Linked DNA regions of Mytilus edulis. The main gene of each other region encodes a partner of the protein of the gene in region 2 in a complex. Links are inferred from orthologs where the notes say so. Each region holds a gene or a part of one and is shown on either strand. Other genes may lie near its edges.

What was found.
Region 1: the proteins of zinc transporter Slc39a7-like (region 2) and protein-L-histidine N-pros-methyltransferase-like are in contact, whole or in part, in a crystal structure (PDB 8GZE), measured with the Homo sapiens proteins. The link is inferred for Mytilus edulis from reciprocal best matches to the Homo sapiens genes SLC39A7 and METTL9. Residues at the interface, in NP_001070984.1 of Homo sapiens: Gly65, His66, Thr67, His68, Glu69; in NP_057109.3 of Homo sapiens: Arg114, Thr115, Asn118, Arg123, Gly124, Met126, Met179, Asn210, Asp213, Arg214, Val241, His245, Tyr247, Glu249, Trp255, Tyr295, Leu296, Cys297, Glu298, Asp300, Tyr306, Val307, Leu308.

The regions. Positions count from the first base shown.
Region 1 is NC_092348.1:52,997,027-53,007,689, forward strand, and holds the start of protein-L-histidine N-pros-methyltransferase-like, read left to right. Parts: upstream 1-6,148; 5' UTR 6,149-6,311; coding exon 6,312-6,491; intron 6,492-7,923; coding exon 7,924-8,114; intron 8,115-8,679; coding exon 8,680-8,780; intron 8,781-10,663. UniProt on the Homo sapiens protein: Protein-histidine N-methyltransferase that specifically catalyzes 1-methylhistidine (pros-methylhistidine) methylation of target proteins.
Region 2 is NC_092345.1:44,233,571-44,244,207, forward strand, and holds the start of zinc transporter Slc39a7-like, read left to right. Parts: upstream 1-6,484; 5' UTR 6,485-6,580; coding exon 6,581-7,409; intron 7,410-8,604; coding exon 8,605-8,810; intron 8,811-10,637. Other genes in the region: ataxin-2 homolog, read right to left, coding at 100-126. UniProt on the Homo sapiens protein: Transports Zn(2+) from the endoplasmic reticulum (ER)/Golgi apparatus to the cytosol, playing an essential role in the regulation of cytosolic zinc levels.

The DNA.
Region 1 (10,663 bases), on a different chromosome or scaffold from region 2:
TGATACATATGACATGCCCCTCTACTTATACATCCCGTCATTGTGTTAGTGTTCTATGATAGATAAATCTTGTTTGCTTGACTCTCATTTTTGCTGATGTGCTTTGTCTATATACTTTTTAGTGCTTCTTTGTTACGTATTTGTTTGTTTTTATAGTGATTAAAATTATAACATAATTTTTACTGATGTACCCCTATTTTTGACATTTTTACTTATTGTGTCTGATTGTTTTGTTCACACATCGTTGTCAATATAATAGAATTCGATGCGACTGTCATAAAAGTGAGAGGTTAAGCTAGCTATAAAACCAGGTTTAACCCACTATTTCTACAAAAAGAAATCCTGTACCAAGTCAGGAATATGACTATTGTTATCCATTCATTTGATGTTTTTGAGCTTTTGATTTTTCCATTTGATTCGGAAAATTCCGTTTTGAATTTTCCTTGGTTTTCAGTATTTTTGTGATTTTACTTTTCAGGGGTTGAAATTTACTAAGGAGCTCGGTATTTATAAGACTTTTTGTATACGAAAATCATCATTACCACAGGAGGAACTGCAACAATTAGAATCAATTATTAAATTGTATTCCCTGTCCGTCTTCACTATGCTTTCAATTGATTTGAACTACAAAGTTTAAGAATTTCTTACTAAATATTATGCAAAACAATAACAAAAGGAATTCTTCGGGTTAAATCAAGTTTAACGGTCTCAATATAATGATTCTGGTTTTCGCAGCCACTTTTAATATATTATAATATTCTGCTAGAAAATTATTTTGTACAAAATCGAGGTGAATTCAGGAGAACGGGAGGAAAAAGAGTGACATTCTTTTTAAATTTTCTACCAGTATATATCTGCCAAATATATTGGATAATTGAAAAAAAAAATAGAATGTGTTCGCGTTTTAAAATAATATACTAAAGTTCTGTTATGAATTGTTGCATTTTCTTGTAAAAGTATTCTACATTAAGTTGTGACATGAATTTGGGCTATTTGGTGTAAACCAGGCTTAAGCCACCATTTCTACATTTGAAAATGCCTGTACCAAGTCAGGAATATGACAGTTCTTGTCCATTCGTTTTTGATGCGTTGTGTTATTTGATTTTGCCATGTGATTATGGACTTCCGAATTGATTTTCCTCTAAGTTCAGTATTTTTGTGATTTTACTTTTTTTTGTTAGACTCTATGTACACGCACCAGGGGCGGATGCAGGAATTTTCGAAAGGGGGGGTGCTAACCCAGGGCAAAGGGGGGTGCAGGGGGGTGCAAAACATATGTCCCGATACAAATGCATTGATCGGCAAAAATAAAGGGGGTGCGCACCCCCGGAACCCCCCCCCCCCCTGGATCCGCCACTGCGCACTTTGTCGATTGTAGGATGGCCACTAATTTGAGTAAGGAAATTACAATTTGGGAAGCAGTATCCGAAATACACTATTTCTACTTAGCTGCAATCTCTTGTATTCTGCATGTGAGGGAAATGATATACAGTTAACATAACTCAGTGATGCTCGAGCGATTCAACAAACGACTACAAACAAAAACAACACGGCGACAGCGAACACATGGCCCAAATAGTCTTCTTTGGTACAGGCACATTGTGTTGTGGTCTAAACAAGTTATACTTGCCCACATACTTCCCCTTTGCACTTCTAGACCACATATATAAACTAAAAGTAAAAGACACGTACATATACAGTCCAGCTATCAAAGGGATGACCAATGATTTGAGCAAGGAAATTAAAATTAGGAAAGCAGTATCACTATCATTATGGCACTATTTCTTCTTAACTGCAATCTCTTTTGTTCTGTTATGTTAATGTATTAGATATGAAAATAACGGAAATTTATTTTTCACATTATGAATAACAATTTTAAAAAGCATTCTAAGATGACCACGTAGCAAAATCACAATTACTAGTGCCGTGTTTAGTTGTTATTGTTGATGGAAAGACAAATACACAACAATTTACAAATGGATTTCTTAAATGAATAATAATCACATGAATCAGACCATATTTGATTTAGGGATAGCGTTTTCTTAGACTGTTTAATTATATCATATTTTCAAAATAAGACTTAATTGGGGAATTTTATACAACGCATTATCGGCGTAATTTGGAATTTCAACTCAATCTATCTTAATAATTGTGAATTTTTGTGGTGAATACCATATGATAATAGCTTCAGTGGTTCGCCTAATTGGTAAAAATCGAATGAAATAGATAAATTTATTTTCGTTAATTGTCTCATTTCTCCTACATTAATGTTGCATTTTCTGTGGAATTCCAGAACAACATAAATGAAATGCTCCCTGTTAATTCGCAATCAGAGTCCAACAAGGTAGACTAACGAAGTAAACTATTGTTTTTAATGAAAAATGATGTAATTTACGCCCTCCCTAAAAAACATTGGCCGAGTTTTAGATGGCCAGGGGATGTCGTTATGCAAAGCTTGAAACAAAAGTCATAAAATGATGGAAATGAAGGGATTATTCAAAAGCAAAACAGATCATTCGTAAATGAAAGATCCGTAATTACGGGAACCTTTGTCATCTGATTAATTACCATCGCTTCCCCGGGGATGACAATCATAGCTTTTCTTAATGTATAGTGATGTGAAATTAAGCCTTCGATTGATGGGGCCAAATCAAATCGTAATTATAGATAGTCTTGCATACAAAAATTATCTATATCAAATTCAATTTTAAAATGTTGCATTGGTATTGCGATTTAAGCCATAATTGACGGTTCCTGATCTCTACTTGCACAACGAACCATTTTTCAACCTTAATTGATCATTAATAGGTAATTCTGTATTGTACTGTGTGTCTTCCTAAATATACAAAATTTGATAAAGATGTGGCGTAATACAATTGCAATAGTTCTGTTTCAATCTTTAATCCTCGTGTGGGCAACTAAGATCTGATTTTTAATCAATCACTGTATACAGTCTGGATATAATATATAATGTAAGAAAGTTGATTGTGCTGAAATAAAAAAGAATACACATTCGATAAATATTAGAATAGCACTCTTTAAATAAGGTACCCAGATGCTTACATGTGATATAAAAAATCAACAAAAAAGGAAGTTTTAACATGAGTTTGTCTACAAAGCATTACGTATATACAACAGTTTGTCTTAGAAAGCAACTGATGCAAGGGGCTAAAGGAGAGGATGTATGTTGTAATGATAAGATGCGACTGGTTTATCTAGGAATTCTAAAAAAAAAAAAACTTTTATCAGACATACTTCAATCTCTTTTTCGGTTATGGCGGTTTCCGTGCTCTCTTACTCGCGTGTTTTTCTATTTTTCTCACCATGGAAGTATTATATTGATCATTGTATTGAAATGTCGCACGATACTAGTGTCATCTAACGTACACGAAGTAGTATTGGTGTCTTTCTCCGTCTTGGGTTGTAAATAACAGAGATACTAAGGTCAAGATTTCCAATCAAGTTAGCAAAATTTGATGCAGGAACGCACATAACTAATGTGAATTTTCCTTTAAAAGAACAAATTGTTAAGATGTTAACTTATAACTATTAGTATATTTATCGAGCCTGCGCCTTTTGTCGCAGAAAGCTCGGCATAGGGACAGTGCTCCGGCGGCGGCGTTGTTAGATCACTTTTAAAAGTTCTTAAACGCTTGATATTTTAGAAAGTGGAAAACTTGGATGCTTCATACTTTGTATATGGATGCCTTAAGTTACGAACTTTCTGTCTGTCACATGTCCATTTGCCTTGACCTCATTTTCATGGTTCAGTGACTACTTGAAAAAAAGTTTTTTTAATGTTGATTTCTCTCTTATTATGAGTAGTAGGAAAACTATATTTGGTATGTGTTTATATACCTTGCAAGGTCCTCATGCCCGCCACACAGTTTTCAACCTCGATCTCATTTCATGGATCAGTGAACAAGATTAAGTTTTGGTGGTCAAGTCCATATCTCAGATGATATATAAAGCATATTTATAGTATATTTGGTGTATGGAAGGATTGTAAAGGGTGTACATTTCCAACTGGAATGTGCCATCTGACCTTGGCCTCATTTTCATGGTTCAGTGGTTATAGTTAAGTTTTTGTATTTTGATCTAGCTTTTTTTACTACTATAATATATGCAATTATAGGTCTACTGTATTTGGTGTATGGAATAATTGTAAGGTGTACATTTGATTTTCCAACTGGCAGGTATCAACCTTGACATCATTTTCATGGTTCATTGGTAAAAGTTAAGTTTTTGAGTTTTGATCTTTTTTACTAATACTATAAGCAATAGGTCAACTATATTTGGTGTATGGACATATTCTATGATGAACATGTCAGTCTCGCAGTTTTATTTGATCTTTTTTATTTCATTTTCACGGTTCATTGCATAGTGTTAAGATTATGTGTCTGTTTTTCTTAAACTATAAGCAATAGTTCAACTATATTTTTTGCTTGATTTTTAATGTTTTAAAATTTGCATTTTAAAGGGAGGTGACTCTGAAACAGTGCATTTCACGGTTGAAGGAATCTTGTTGAAATTTTGCTATTTCATATTTTAGCAAGAAAAAACGTACGGTGACCCTATTTTTTCTTTTGATAATCTCAAAGCATGTTATAAAAAATATCTTCTCGTATTTTATTTTACAATCAGTCTATCATTTAATTTATCTTCTAATCACATTAATGCTTTTTCACTGTATAATCCATACAAAACTTGTCATTTTGTCCCAACCTGTAGCTTCAGAAAATGCTCGGTGACCTATCATTTTATTATATTTTTAAACATATCACCATGCATACTATGTTGTGGCAAGGTATGAACAAATTCTATCATTTTTGGGATAGGATTGCTGTCAGGTAATCTGTAGACTTTTGCCATTGACTCCTTTCCAAGGCTCTTGCGTCAACCGTGTTGTGCTTTACTTTAGGAACAACTCAGATTTTTAGAATTGTCCTGTTATAAAAGCAAAAACAAACAAATTAGAGATTGGGTTTCAACAACGGGCCCTATACGATAAAAATCAATCATAACATATATATTTTGTTCCCCTGTACTTGTCTATATAACCTGGGAACAGTTGACATGTATGTTCCTGCTATAACTTTATATTCCTTTCAGTGTTTAAGACTGTGGCAATGTGAACTAGCTAAGTTACTAACGACACATTCAAGTTGAATTTATTTACGTAACTCATTAAAATTATAGGTTGAAGATTGTTGAAGAGTAGAGGTAAAAAGCGCAAATGTCTGGTCAATCTGGGAACAGTATATTTATCCCGGGGGTTGCTTCCTATATTTTTAGTGGTATGGGTGTGCAGCAAAACAGGGTCCCTTTTCCATGGCCTGCTGGTTAGAACAGGGTCCCTTTTTTGTGTCCTGCTGGTAAGACTGTGACAGGGTCGCATTTTCATGCCGGCCTGCAGCGCTGTTGAGAACAGGGTCTTTTTAAACAAAGTATTTGTCTAGTACAGGATCGCTTATTTAACTGTTTGAGATACAGTCTAGAACCATCTATTTCACACGGTCTAGAACAGGGTAGGCTATACTGAGCGTGTTTAGAACAAGGTATGTTTTTCAATGTTTTCTGGTTAGAACAGGGTAGGATTTTGCATGTGCTGTCGGCACAGCAGTGGCGGATTCAGCCATTTAAAAAAAGGGGGGGTTCCCAACAAAGAGTAAAGGGGGGTTCCAACTATATGCTCCCATTCAAATGCATTGATCGGCCAAAAAAAGGGGGGTTACAACCCCCGGAATCCCCCCCCCCCCCCTGGATCCGCCACTGCACAGTTATACCATCGAAAGGCCAGTCAGTAACACCCCCTCCCCCGTATATTTATCTACAAATCCTTGAAAAAATAATGTGATGTGAAAAAAACAGAATTACCAATCCTACATGTCCTAGATAAGAACTGGTAACACATATATGTTTCTTTATAACAACTAGGCTGAAAATTTTGCCAAGTATAGCGCTGGAAAGACTATATAATATATCTGATAATATCTTCATTAGTCTTTTTCTCGGCCGTTATTGAAATTCTTGACAATATTTGTATTTTCCGAAGGCATATACTGAATGTTATACGGAGGGGACCAACATCTTCATATGCTGAGTTTTCATTTGAAATTTGCCGCTGCAAAACTTCTAAAAAAGGGAGAATACACATTTCGTTTAAACCGGAAGATGTGTTTTACACAGCTCAGTCAGTTATTGTTTTGATTCAGACAATTTTACTGATCTAGACTTTAAAAGAATATGTAAAACGATAACGTAGAGAAAGACATATATAAAAATTCAGTAATATATGTCCATAATATTTCATGAACTTATCCATTTATCTGGGATGTGTATTCATAGAACTGTTGACAGCAGTTAATATCAGGATGAGCCAAGCAGCTGATCAAATCCCCGGAATTGGTCATATTCGCAGTCCATTGCTACGTTCAGTTTACAATAAAATGAGAGAGGATGAAAAACAAAAGAATAATCCCCATGATGACGTATGTTTTATTAGCAATAGCTAGCATGGCTAGATCCATATGTAAAAAAAAAATGTTATGGGGAGATGTACAAATTCTCAGATCTGCAGTGACATCACAACATGTAACTGACCAATCAATGATTAGCATTTTTGTTATGTAAACAATGTTGAGAGGTGATGCGGATGAGAATCCTCTAGATTTTCCATAGACTTCAATGCAAATTAATTTAATTGATATATATTGACACCAGTTGAATCTAGTAATTTTACCCACTTAATATTGTTAAAGACACTATATAATATCTCCATTTTGATTTTTATCATACTATATCCTCTGGTTAAAAAATAATCAGCAATATAAATAATCAGATATCACCTTCAAATAGATGAAAAATCTAGAGGAATCCTATCTGCATCACCCCTTGAAAAATTTAAATGCCAGGATGTCCGGATCTGAGAATAATAAAATGCCAGAATTAAAACTGTTTTTAAAATACAATGTTCATTATTCTAGAGGATTGATTAGCTTCAAAAGACTTTTTCAAAATGAAGTATATGTATGTTGAATGATAAACTTTAAAAAATAGTTTATACAATGTACAGTACCTGGCCAAAAGTATTGCATTTTTGTTTATATATATATATTTCATATAAAAACAATTTTTCAAAAAAATATTTTGAGGGCATTTATGGTTGGATTTTTATGAACAAGGCTTTAAAAGAAGTAGAATTGTTTGTTTGTTTATTTGGTGATAGTTTTGTCTTCGGGTGTTATTGTTTTCTCTTGATGTGAACACATACAATAAATTTTTATAATTTAATTTGGTTGAATATACAGCGAATTTCTGAACAGAAAATAATATTTGTATTTATCTTGTGAAAAAATGAAAATGATCCACAAAAAATATAACCAAATAAACAAATAAGCATGTGACAATTCTGCTTCTATTGGTTAAAATCAAACCAAAAATGACCTCAAAATATTTTTTGAAAAAATGTACTTTTATATACAATATACAATGTATAGCGAAAAATCTAAAGTGATGAATACTTATAGCCACACTCTGTACTTGTTTTATGATTTTCAAAAATTGACAAATGACCATACAGGTACAATGTTCTTTACATGAACATTTGTTTGATACTAATTTTCATGGGTTTCATGGTTACAGGTGAACTGCGAAATCAAATGTTCAATGAATAACAAATTTCTAATAGGCTTTGTATGCAGAGATTTGCAAAACCACCAAATCAAATATCCACGAAAATGTAAGTTTTCCTTAATCCACGAAAAATTGATACCTCAAAAAAATAAATGAAACCACTGTAAGCCAAGAACTGAATCATTCAGAATCTACATTTGTAGATGTGACATCAACTCAGAATCAAAAAAAGTAACTCCAGTATAAAATAAACATGATTTATTGAAGTTGATTTTTTTTCTTTCAAAGTGGTATACAGTTGACCTGTCCAAAGTTCCAGAAGAGATTTGTGCAAAGTTTTTACAGTTTAACCAGGATGAAGAAACAAGCCAGTTCCTAAACCAATGTTATGAAAAATCTGATTGGTTATTTACTCAGCTAGGTCATTCCATCTGTAAATCTGTACTTGGTTGGTTTATGTCAAGCACCTCGATTAATGGGTAATGCTCTCTAATAAAGCACTGTGTATACAAAGTCTTGAAATAGCATGCAAAGGTATTTAGGAGGTTTAGATAAACATAAACCATTATTAATTGGTCGAACAGGGAGAAACAAATATTTTACAAACGCTTTAGCTATTAGAAAGTATCGAAGCACACATAAAGATTTCCCCTGACCTGCCAAAATGAGCCAAAATAAGTACCATGTGAAAATACTCCACTATACAGTTATAGAAAATGTGGTATGAGTGCCAATAAGACAACTCTCCATCCTAGTCACAATTTGTAAAAGTAAACCGTTATAGCTCACAGAGCCTCACTACGAAGAGCAAGCTATAAAGGCCACAAAAGTGACTACCGGTAGTGTAAAACTATTTAAAAAGGAAAACCAACAAACAACAATACTACAGAAAAGGCATTTTAATTTATAGATTACATGTATATAGAGTATCCACCCTATTAAAACACTTGTTTTTTTTTTTTTTAAAGTAAAAGCTTTTCATTTTAAAGAGCTTTTATACTAAGGTGTTTTTTAATTAAGAGTATACATTTTTTTTTTCGTTAGATTATTAAAAAGAGGATCAATGTTTGTATTTTCCAAAGATCAGCTTAGACAGATGTTACATGTAGCACCAGACAGGAAAGGAAATAGGTTACTAGATCTTGGTAAGAGAAAAGTAAAAGGACTACTGTAAATCAACTTATTTTTGCAGATACTTTATTTCACGTTTTACGCTTTCTAATCCAATTTGCGGCTATTTATATTTGTGATTTTCTAATTTCCTTGATGTAGTTTAATGAGGAAAGAAACAAGTTTAACATATTTATGATGATTTATATAAGCGCTACTCGTGAAAGTCACAAAAAAATAAATCGCTCCCAAAAATAAGTTGGTTTACAGTATTCCCATTTAACTAAAAATGAAGCAGTGAAAAATAAAAGTATTATGCTTGTTTAGATAAAGGGAAATGTGGTATATATACAATAGTGAGAGGAACCCAACAACACAAAACTCAGACATCTTGAGGTCAACATTAAGTCTTCAACAATAGACAAGTATCTCTACAATATAAGTGGTATTCTATCAAAACCATTCCATAAACGATGGAAAAAATTATGATGTCACTAAACAGAACCACTGAAGTGGGTTCAACTAGTTTTCTGTCACCTCAATCAGTAGACAAGAAAACAAACTAATAAATGGCAATAAAACATTCGTATGTATCAGAAACAATTGTGAGCTGGATCAGCCACTGGACATAATTTTTATGCTTATTAACACAATACGCAGTTCGTACTAATTTGGGAAATGTCCACCAAAGGAGTAAGTTCGGTAAGGGCCATATTTGGCCCCAATTATAAAGTTCATAGTTACAAGATTATAAATTTTTTAAGTTGCCTTAAAGACATGTGAGAAAGTTAACCAGAACTATTTTTGTCAAAGTTTAATTCTAACACGTTGATTTTACATTTCAAAAAGGTCAAGATAAAGGATATGGGTGAAATTTGACAAAATCAGCCGATTTTCAATTTTCAACCAAATTAAGGACCCGGAAACATAGAGCGCAGGCGTCGACAAACTTAATATTCAAATGAGACATGTGAAATGTCTTCACAAACAATATTTTAAAAGATCATTGTTGTCGACGTATGCACTCTATGTTTCCTGTCCAATAATCTATGGAAATTTACCCATTTTCATTGACATTTTCGTGAAAAATCAATATGAGTACAACTTGTGACGTCATAATAAAACGCAGAAACGTAAATTTTTCAACAAAATGGCTTATTTCCTGTCTAGTCACTGCATTAGCTATAATTAATTGTGAAATTGGTCAATAAATCCTAATTTGAAATTTACGCTAAAAAAGTAGGCCATTTTAGGACCTTACCGAACATACTCCTTTTAGTAGAACATGTTAAAATCTAAAATTATATATTGAGAATCTAAAATATCGCTAATCATGAGCAAGCAAAGGGAATATTTGTTTCTCGCCTATGTGCTTTGGTTTTTCTTGTGTTAAACAAACTGATCACATATGCCAACCAAAGCATCAACTTACAGTCTTACTCCCAATAATTGGATGCCACCTGAAATGGCTGGTTATTGCACTTCACAATTTAATTAACTTTGGTCTATACACTTCTAACCCATTTGGCTGAGAGTTGTATAAAAGTACAGGAATACCAGTAACAGTAATTTTGATTAATCCTCTAAAAAGGTTTGAAGGCTTTACTGGAAGAAAGGTACCTAAGTTGGGCCTAATGGATTTTTTTTATGGTTGCCCTGTTTTGATTTGAAAACTACCCATGAATTTATATGTACAAATTTTAGTTGATGAGTACATCATGCAGGAAAATCTAGAAATCTGCATAGAATGCATCAAAATAGATCATTGAACTGGTTAATTGTTTTATAAATTACAGGTGCTTGTGACAGAATGGTTGCAGAAATAATGGCCATAGACCATTTAACTGGTAAATTGTTGTCTAAATTACAGGTGTTGGTGACGGGATGGTTACAGATATAATGGCCATAGATCATTAAA
Region 2 (10,637 bases):
TCAAAAATAGTTCCACATAAAGACTATCTTACTATATGTGTAAAAGGAAAAAAACTTCATCTTAAAAAAATCAACGTCTTTACAGTTTGAAGTACTTACCAAAATATAAATAAAACTAGTTCTCATCTTGTATCATAATGTGAAAAGAAATATAATTAAGATAATTAATTATGAAAACGTTATGTACATATTTAGACTAGAATGATAATGAAGTTTTGTCATTAAAATTTAGTTTTTGTTGATGGTTTCACTCATGCATATAATTGTATAATTAATTAAATTTAAAGGAATAAACAATTTGCGGTTGTTCTGAATACAGACACGACAGCTATTTTATGCAGTTACACGTTAAAGGTGAATCGAAAGGACAGTTGGCAGTTTTGAGCCATTTTAAATTTAAAAAATAATAGGTGTTGTTAAAGCATAAATTGATTAGTGGCTTATCAATTTACAACCAGTTTAAACTTAAGATTAAAGACAAAGTACCATTTTTTTGCAAGTACTAGTCGAAATGTAGGTAACTATATGGGTTGAACATCTCTATTTTATAAAACAACTAGTATATAAATTAATATAATAAAATAATGGAAATGATTTCATTCACATTAAATATCTTTCAGTTTCTTTTTCACAAATAATAATAATATATATGATCAAAATATATGGCAATCTATCAAAATATTTAATCATATATAAAATTGATTCCTTCAAATACAATGACTGTTGACGTACTCCACTATTGAAACACATATTTCATAAATACTGACCGTCATGTAACATGTGTAAAATGTTTATTTCAATTTTTCACAATTTAATCCTACAATGTTGACACATACAGAGAATAATAAAAAAAATAGATGAAGGTCACTAAATAAATATGAGTGTCTCAAGAGTCATACACTAACTAATATATAGAAGACATTTTGTTTTCTTTCAAAATTTAACAATATAAGGTAATGGGAAAATCTGGATTCAGTTTTTTTTGTCATCTGCGTGACCACAATAATAGTTTCTTCGTCAAATTGGGAATAAGAATATCATTTATGAATAAACCATATCCTCTTAACTAAAACAAAGTAAATAAAGGGGCAAACTATCCCACTGGGATTAAAGAGCAGTTTCCGTTTGAAATTGAACAAGCGCGGAAAAAGCTTTATCCTATCTTAAAGAAAGCCAAACAGGACGGCAAAATGGCAAGCCTGGTACGGGATAAACTATTTATAAACGGGAAATTATACATGGAAGAGAAAATAAAGACACATTCTCAAACACCGGCAAAAATGACACAACAGAAAATTGAGGCAACCAACCAGTGAGAGCCCGCCAATCCCACCGAGATCAAAACGAGCTAGGACTGAGTCAGATAACAGCCATATAAGAAGAAATCTCAGAAACAGTGATTCCATACCTTCTCCATCAACACATGCGAACAACACACAACCAAACCAATATTAGAGTGGCCACGGAGAACAACCAGCTAGACAACATACAAAAACGAATATTGAAAATGATTTTAAAAGCAGTAATATATTCTCACTCCCGAATTCAGACATTTATAATGCTTCGACTTCAACCAGTAGCGATACATGTAACAGTCCTAGAAAAAATATTTCAGCTGGTAGTGATCTAAACATTTTATGCCTGAACTGCTGTGGAATAAAGTCTCGCGTGAATTATCCAGAATTTAAAGACATTATAGATAATCATGAAATAGTATGTCTTGTAGAAACTAAAACCGATGACATTGATGTGATAAATCTTCCCGGTTATGAATTCAAAATGAAAAACAGGAAAAAAGTTACGAAAACGAGATCGGGTGGTATTACAGTTGGCTACAAAGAACATTTGAAGACAATGATAGAAATAATAGACACAGAATGTAAATATGTAATGTGGTTTCAAGTTAACGGTAAAGCTTTTAATTTAGATAAACCCGTTGTTTTTGGAGTCGTTTACATACCTCCGGAATATACTAGGTATTCCTCAGATGAAGCTGTTAATGAGATTGAACAAGAATTTCTACGCTTTTCGAACATTTCAAATTACATATGCCTCTTAGGGGATTTTAATGCCAGGACAGGTTGTGATGATGATTTTGTAATTATAATGAAGATGAACATGGTGATAATAACTTGTCTGACTTTATCGAAAACCCTATTAATGCTCTAGAAGCTCTGTCTATTCCCACGAAGAGGGAAAGTATGGATAAAGGAAAAAATAGATATGGCAATATGCTGTTAAATTTTTGCAAAGGCAACGGGGTTTTTAATACTAAATGGAAGATTGGGAAGGGATCAAAATATCGGGCGATTTACTTGTCGTAATGCCAGTGTAGTTGATTATTGTATAAGCACTCCTGAACTTTTGAAAACGTTTAAGGACTTTGAAGTTTTAGATTCAAGTAAGTTATTGTCAGATGTTCATAACCCACTCTCTATTACTTTTTTCTGTGATAAAAACTTGGCAATTGCCCATGCGGAAAATGTCGATTATTTTAGTAAAAAGAATACGTTTACGAAGATAAAAAGATGGAATTCTGAAAAGATAAAAGATTTTCAAAATAATATTGATGTAGAAAAAATAGCAGAACTTGAATACAAACTTACAAATACTGATTTAACTGTAGTGAATAAGAACATCATTAATTCACTTATAGATGATCTGTGTAATATTTTTGTCAAGTCTGGGAAGACAACTTTTGGTACTTATACTGTAAAACAGACTAAGAAAAGGGGAGATTTTGGAAATAAGAATAAACCCTGGTTTGATGAGGAATGTAAATTTGCACGTCAAAATTACAGGAAATTAAAAAGACGTTTCAAGTCCAAAAATCATTCTAAAAACCATTCAGACATGTTAAATGCCGAAAAAGCGTATAAAAACATTCTCGATAGCAAATTTAGAAACTTTAGAAAAGATCTTTCAGATAAAATTCAAAATTTGCGTGGCAAAAATCCGAAAGAATATTGGAAAATTTTAAATCAGAATAAAAGAAAGAAACAACCCGATATTGACATTGGAAAATTACACGATTTTTTCAAAAATTTAAACGCTGCACCGGAAGATGAAAAAAATGTGCAACTTCCAGAGATCAATCCCATGCAATGTGAACAGATGAATGAACATATAAATTCGCCTTTTTCAAAAGATGAAATTCTCCAGTCTATTAAAAAAACTGAAGAATGACAAAGCTTGAGGTGAAGACGAAATTATAAACGAATACATAAAATCCACATCAAACCAGTTTTTATGCATTTATGAGAAACTTTTTAATATTATATTTGATAAAGGTCTTATTCCACATAGGTGGCTTATAGGTACAATTAAACCAATTTATAAAAACAAAGGAAACTCCAAAGATCCAAAGAATTATAGACCAATTACTATCGTTAGCTGTCTGGGAAAACTATTTACAGCAGTTTTGAATAAAAGACTTAATGATTTTTCAGAAGAGTTTACCTTAATACAAGAAAATCAAAGTGGTTTTCGGCAAAAATATTCTACTACAGATAATATTTTTACCTTGTATTCTTTTTTTGAATTATTGAAATGTAGGAAAAAGAAATTATATTGTGCCTTTATAGATTTTGAGAAGGCTTTTGACACTGTATGGCGAGATGGTTTGTTTTATAAAATGTTGTTAAATAATATAAATGGTAAGATGTATAAGGTTATATCTAATATATACTGTGATACTAAATCTCGTATATCATACAATAATTGTAATTCAGAATACTTTGCTTGTGACAACGGCGTACGACAAGGAGAAAACTTATCACCTTTCCTATTTTCTTTATATTTAAACGATTTAGAAGATTTCTTGGTTAGTAAAAATATTACAGGACTTAAAACCTTATCAGAAGACCTTGAAAGAGAATTAAAAATACATCTAAAACTTTTTATCATATTATACGCAGATGACACGGTGCTGTTGGCCGAAACAGCACAGGATCTGCAGACGCAACTCAATGCCTTTCATGACTATTGTAAGGTTTGGAAACTGAAAGTAAATGTTGACAAAACTAAAACCCTAGTATTTGGTTTGGGACGTTTGCCAAAAAATCTCCAATTTACTTATAATGGCATAAGCATTGAGTTAGTAAAGCAGTTTAACTATTTGGGTATTGTTTTTACTAAAACAGGAAACTTTAATATGACTAAAAAATATTTATCCGATAAGGCCTTAAAAGCCATGTACGAAGTCCTGAAAATAGGAAGGATGTATCAGCTTTCTGTTAAATGTCAGCTTGACCTTTTTGACAAAATGATCAAGCCCATTCTATTGTATGGGTGCGAAATATGGGGCTTTGGTAATAATGATATCCTTGAAAAGATTCATTTAAAATTTTGTAAAATTCTTTTAAACTTGAAATCCTCAACGCCAAATTATATGGTTTACGGGGAACTAGGTCGTCATCCGATCGAAATAGATATTAAAGTTCGAACAGTACTATTCTGGGCAAATTTGATATCCGGTAAACAAGCAAAGTTTTCCTTCATATTATATCAACTTTCTCGTCATATGAACGAGCACCATAATGTCCAGATAAAATGGATCCTGTTTATACAAAAAATATTTCAAGATTGTGGTTTCTCATACATATGGGAGTCACAAAATTTTGTTAATAAAGAATGGTTAAAAACTGTTATAAAGCAGAGATTGCTAGATCAATATATTCAGAACTGGAATTCCCTCATTCAAAATTCACCAAAAGGTATTAACTACAAAAATTTTAAGAAAAACTTGGAATTCGAAGAATATTTTAATATTTTGGACTTCGAAGACGCTATTGTTTTTTGTCGATTTAGAACGACTAATACTAAGCTGCCGATTGAAACAGGAAGATGGCAAAACGTGATCAGAGAAAACCGCTTTTGCAGTCTATGCAACAATCGACAAATAGGTGACGAATATCATTTTATATTTGAATGCAATTTTTTCCATCAAAAACGCAAAGAGTTTTTAACTGAATATTTTACAAAACGGCAAAATACAGTTAAATTCTCTGAACTTATGTCAAGTACAAGAAAACCAGTTCTGAAGAAGCTTTGTTCTTTTATAAAAAATATAAATACTAGTGTTTGTACTCCTGGCTTGTAACTTTTGTAACCTCTCTCGCTTGTTTTGTACATATTGTAAATATTTATTGTTGTATCTGTTATCTCTGTACCGATGTAATGCATTGGCTTTATGAGAATAAAGATATATAGCCATCGTCTAATTATTCGAAGAAAAACATCGCAATCAGTGTTTCAAGTAATTGCTTGTTTGCTGAGAAGGGGACTAAGACTAACGAAAGAAGTACTCGTACTTATAAAATATTTGAAAGAATTAATTATTATAGATGAATAAGTAAGTCAGGAGCCTCTGGTCTTTTCAGTCTTGTATGTCTTTTAATTTTACTTTGTTTATATGTTTCTCAGTTAAGTGTTACGTCAATTTCCACTGAACTAGTACACGTTTTTGATTAAGGACCAACTAACCTAGCTTCCTGGTGCAGGATTTTCTCGCTTTTTGGAAAACCCAGAGGTGGCATTGGGCTGTTTCAGTCTGATGTTTGATCGGGTTTTTGTCTCTTTGACACATTCTTATTTCCATTCTCACTTTTATCAGATAAGTACAAGATCTCTTGATGTACTAAACACGGTATTTTGAATTTAAAGTTTATTTGATAAATTTTGAGTGTTTTCATTCTGCAGTGTTGCATAGATTTATCTTTTTTTAAGACAAAAAGAAGAAAAAAAAAACAATAATCAACTAAAAACTCCAAATTTAAAGAACGCGTATATTCTAGAGAGCTCGACACTTCTTTCTCAACTAGTGAAATCGAACAGATATCATTTATCAATTTAACATGTACAGAACCCTGCCTTTTTATCATCCCGTCAGCTACATTTACCATGCAGTTCCGAGTGGTTTTCAGGGGTTATGGTAGTTCAAGAGAGAAACAAGTCAGGATGCCGGAGCAATTTGGCAATTTATGTAAAAAAAGGTCAGGATGAACTAAGGCCAGCAACCATTTGATTTTCGGGGGAGGGGGGGGGCTATGGATTTTTGTTTTCTTTTAAATTTAGCATTACATATAGTGGCAGCTGAGGGTGAAACAAACATTTTTTTTTCTCAGGGTCAAAAACAAATTACTATTTTTTCTCTGGAAACAAACTTTTTTCCAAAAAAATCCATACCCCCCACCCCCCCCCCCCCCCCCAACACACACACATCCACACAGAAAATCAAATGGTTGCTGCCTATTATAAAAGGAAGGACCGAATAGAGTGACAAGAGAAAAAGCCAGGGCAACGTTTTTCTTCTTAACCCTCCCCCTTCCCCCGAAAAATTCAAATGGTAGCTCCCTTACAAGTTATAACAATACTAAAGAAAATGAATCATTAATAAAAAAAAATGACAAATAAACGTAGAAAATTCCGATCATATGTAACCTAAATTGGAATCTGTTACGGGATAGCAAGACATAATTTAGCAACAGTAAATATTGCCGGCAAAGAGTTACGTCCCTTCCAAAACAAAAGCCACGTCTACTTTCGAACATACGAAAACAGATTTTTGTGCGATTAGAAGATGAACAGGGCTAAAAGGAACCATCGCAGTTTATTTTCAATTGCTTTTGTTATTATTCTGTCTGCAATTTTACTGAGGTCTGGCATTAACGCACACAACGGCCACGGACATACTCATTCTCATGACGAGCAAGATGAGCCCAATCCATCTTTTAAATATTCACAGCAAGCAAACGTAGATCATGACCACGGACATGCACATGATCACGCACACGATCATGGTCACGCACACAATCATGGACACGCACACGATCATGGACATACACACGACCATGCACACGATCATGGACACAAACATGATGCACCTACAAAATCTTCCAAGAAATCAACAGGATTGGTACTTTGGCTACAGGCTTGTGGTGCCACAGCTCTAATTAGTGTCTCACCAATTGTAATTCTTTTGTTTATTCCAATAGAAAATGCATATGATGCTAAAAATCAAAATTTACTGAAAATTCTTCTCAGTTTTGCATCTGGTGGTCTTCTTGGTGATGCATTTTTACATCTTATTCCTCATGCAGTTTCACCTCACTCACATGGAGATGGTGATGACCATGCACACTCACATTCTCATGGGCATTCTCATGGAGAAGGAGGACATGAGCATGGTCACGATATGACAGTTGGATTATGGGTCCTTGCTGGAATCGTTGTTTTCCTGATGGTTGAAAAATTTGTGAGGTATGTAAAGGGAGGACATGCTCACAGCCATGCACCACCAAAACCAGTCAAAAGCGAAAAGAAAGGTGAAGGTGATGAAGATGCAAAAGGCAAAGAAACTAAAGATTCAAAGAAAAAAATTGAAAAGACAGAAGAGAAACAAGTAACAGGTACATGTACCTTGATATCAAATTCCTTTTTATGAAATTTAAAAGTTAACGTTACACCAGTTGAATTATCGCTATCTCATACCAATGCTTATGTTTTTTGGTGCCTATAAATAGTCATAGGAATACTTTCACGCATGTGTAGCACACAGTACAGGAGGCACCTGTTTGACTCGTGACAACATTTTTGAACGTTAGCTTTTGAATAAAGTTCTATTTTAAATGGAATTTGTTGAAAGTTATGATGAAAATTTATATCAAATATGGCATAACTGCGTTCGAATGAATAATCTACGACAAACGAACTTCAAAATGTGATCGTTTGAGAAATATTGAAATTTCAATTCAAACTGTCCGTGGGTAAACAATTTGACGAAAATATATATACACCTGGTTGTTGAAATGCGGACTGACTGATTTTCCTGGGGAAAATAATTATGATGGTCATTAATGAGGTTTATTAATAATTAATGGATTAGTGACCCATCCGATGGTGATAATCGGATTACATGTAGTTGTAATCACAACTTGCAACACCTGTTGAAAATGTTAATTACCTGGGAGTCAAAAGTTGTCAAAAACATGAAGACCGGTAGATTTATAGTATTTTAGTAGGAAAATATTTTTGCACTTGCAAAATTTAAGTGACGAAATTAATTTGAAAAACTTTCGTCAATCAAAATCACTGCCTAATATTTTTTATACATGGACGTCTGCAAAACATTTTTTGCTTTCGTAAATGATATAATGTTGTCTGCATTGTCGTCTGCTGCATCGTTGCCTGTCTCTATGATATTTACCAGAAGGTTGAATACCATACACTGAAGGAAGGAAGTTAAGGAAGTAGGGGGCAAAAAAGGGGGGCTTATATAAGTATTGTAGTACTTTCCGTTCATTAACTTGTGTGTCAACAAGGTAAGTGTATTGATTTCAGTGAAATTACACCACAAGGTTTCATATCTAAAAGGGAAGGCTTTGATTGAGTTTTAAGGTAATTTCCCCAAATGTTTAGGAGTTAGAGTAAAGGGGTGAAGCATTTTTATTAGATCATTGACAATTTGGTCATGAATCCATCTGTGTTCTTTGTTTAATATATATGCACATATACCAAGGTGAGTGACACTGGCTCTTCAGAGCCTCTAGCATGTCTAGTTAAGTTTTCAAATAGTTGTTATCTATATTTCATGTATTTTTTCAGAACCTGAAGACATAAAAGTTGCTGGTTATTTAAACCTTGCTGCAGATGCTGCTCACAATTTCACAGATGGTTTGGCAATAGGTGCTTCTTTTCTAGCTGGTAGAAATATAGGAATTATTACAACTATAACTATATTCTTACATGAGATACCACATGAAATTGGAGACTTTGCAATCTTAGTAAAATCTGGGTGCACAAAGAGAAAGGTACAGTATATACATTTTTTAAGTGTTATGTGTCCGTATCATGGCGTATGTACATTTGTGAATTTCATAGAAATGCACCTTGTTGTATTGTCTAAATGATGGTAAAATTCTATATATAAATTTTAGCTATAATTCAGCCAACACTTTTGTTCTCGAAATCTTGATAAAATGGAGTTCATTTTAAGGTACCTTTTGATATCTATTTTTGATTTTTTCCTATATTTTAACCTTTCTGGCTTTTTATAACATACATAGAAAGCATTGCATTTGCAAAATTTGCTCTGCAACCACAATATACAAATGTACATGCCAATTATGATAAGACCATTAATTTTGAAATTGTACATCTCATGTCTTTTCTGGCAAAATATTTCTAATTAATTATTAATTTTACTACAAAGGTACACCTAAAAATTAACATAAACTTTTGTGTCATACATTTTTGTATATTTGAATAACATGTGAAAAATACAGAAAAAATGCTTATCTCGTCAAAAATAAATTTTTGAAGTTCCTATTAGAACAGGCATAAAAATAACAAAGCTATCTATATTCTATCTCTTTATAATTTTGATGTATTTTGTATTATATGTTGTAAAATAAGATACATTTAGTTTATGAAAATATTGTTTAATGTATAAAGTGGTTAAGTTTAAATTTAAAAATTTTAGATTTTATTTTCCCTTTTCTTGTGTTTGATTCTGATCTTTGTTATAGAGATTAGATTTACTATGGGGAATTGTGTATTTTGCATTTTTAACTCTACACTGAAATTAGCAAAATTGAACCCCTTGTGAACATTTACCACTTAATCTTTACATGTACAGTATCTCAAATTTGTATGCAGGATAAAAAGTGAAATGCAAGCTTCACCATGTGTCCACTTTGATTCTTTAAATTCTATTTGATAACTGTAAATTCAGAATTATTGCAATGTTTTTATTATTCCCAATAATGTGACAGGGATATAAATCGCAATTATTTAAACTCGCATTTTGATTTATTTTTTTATGAATTTAACAGAATTCTCATATTTAGGCGAGTGATATGAGAGCCAAATTTACATTTTTAATGCACCTACCTAACACACGGCTAAATTATATATCACTAGAAAGCTAAGAATGTGTACTTTCTAAATATCCCGGTCGTCAAAAGAAATTATGGTGCATTTTTTTTTAAATCGAGGTCAAAGGTCATGGGTGCAATTTCAATTCACGGATACTTCCAGTTGTAAAATCGAGTCAAAACAAATGCAAAAACGAAACAATTTTAAAGGAATGCTGTATTACTGTTGGGAAAATATATTTCTATTATAATATTAATTAATTTTGGTTGATTTTGACGGTAACGCATGTTACATAACGTTTTCTCTCGGAGTCTTTGAAAATCAACATTTAAGTCACACAAATGTATCTGTAGTCGCCCTTGCATTATCTAAATCATATAATACCTCCATATCATTTGATTGCACGTATTTACAAACATATATATCTGCAAATTTGATAAAAATAATCCGAAACAAAATATTTGAAGCAAGGGGAAAATATAACATATGACGTATTTTTAATTGTTTAGAAAAGTCCCATGATGAGCTGTTTATTAAAATTGAGGAAGCGTATGGTCTCCTGTTAGTTTGAAAGCCTGACAACCATAGAGCAGATTTTCTTTTATATATGTTGCAATATGTTGATATATAAAAAAGAAGATGTGGCATGATTGCCAATGAGACAACTATCCACAAAAGACCAAAATGACACAAACATTAACAACTCATACATCACTAAATCAGATATGATAAGAGTACTAACAAACATAACTAAAATGAGT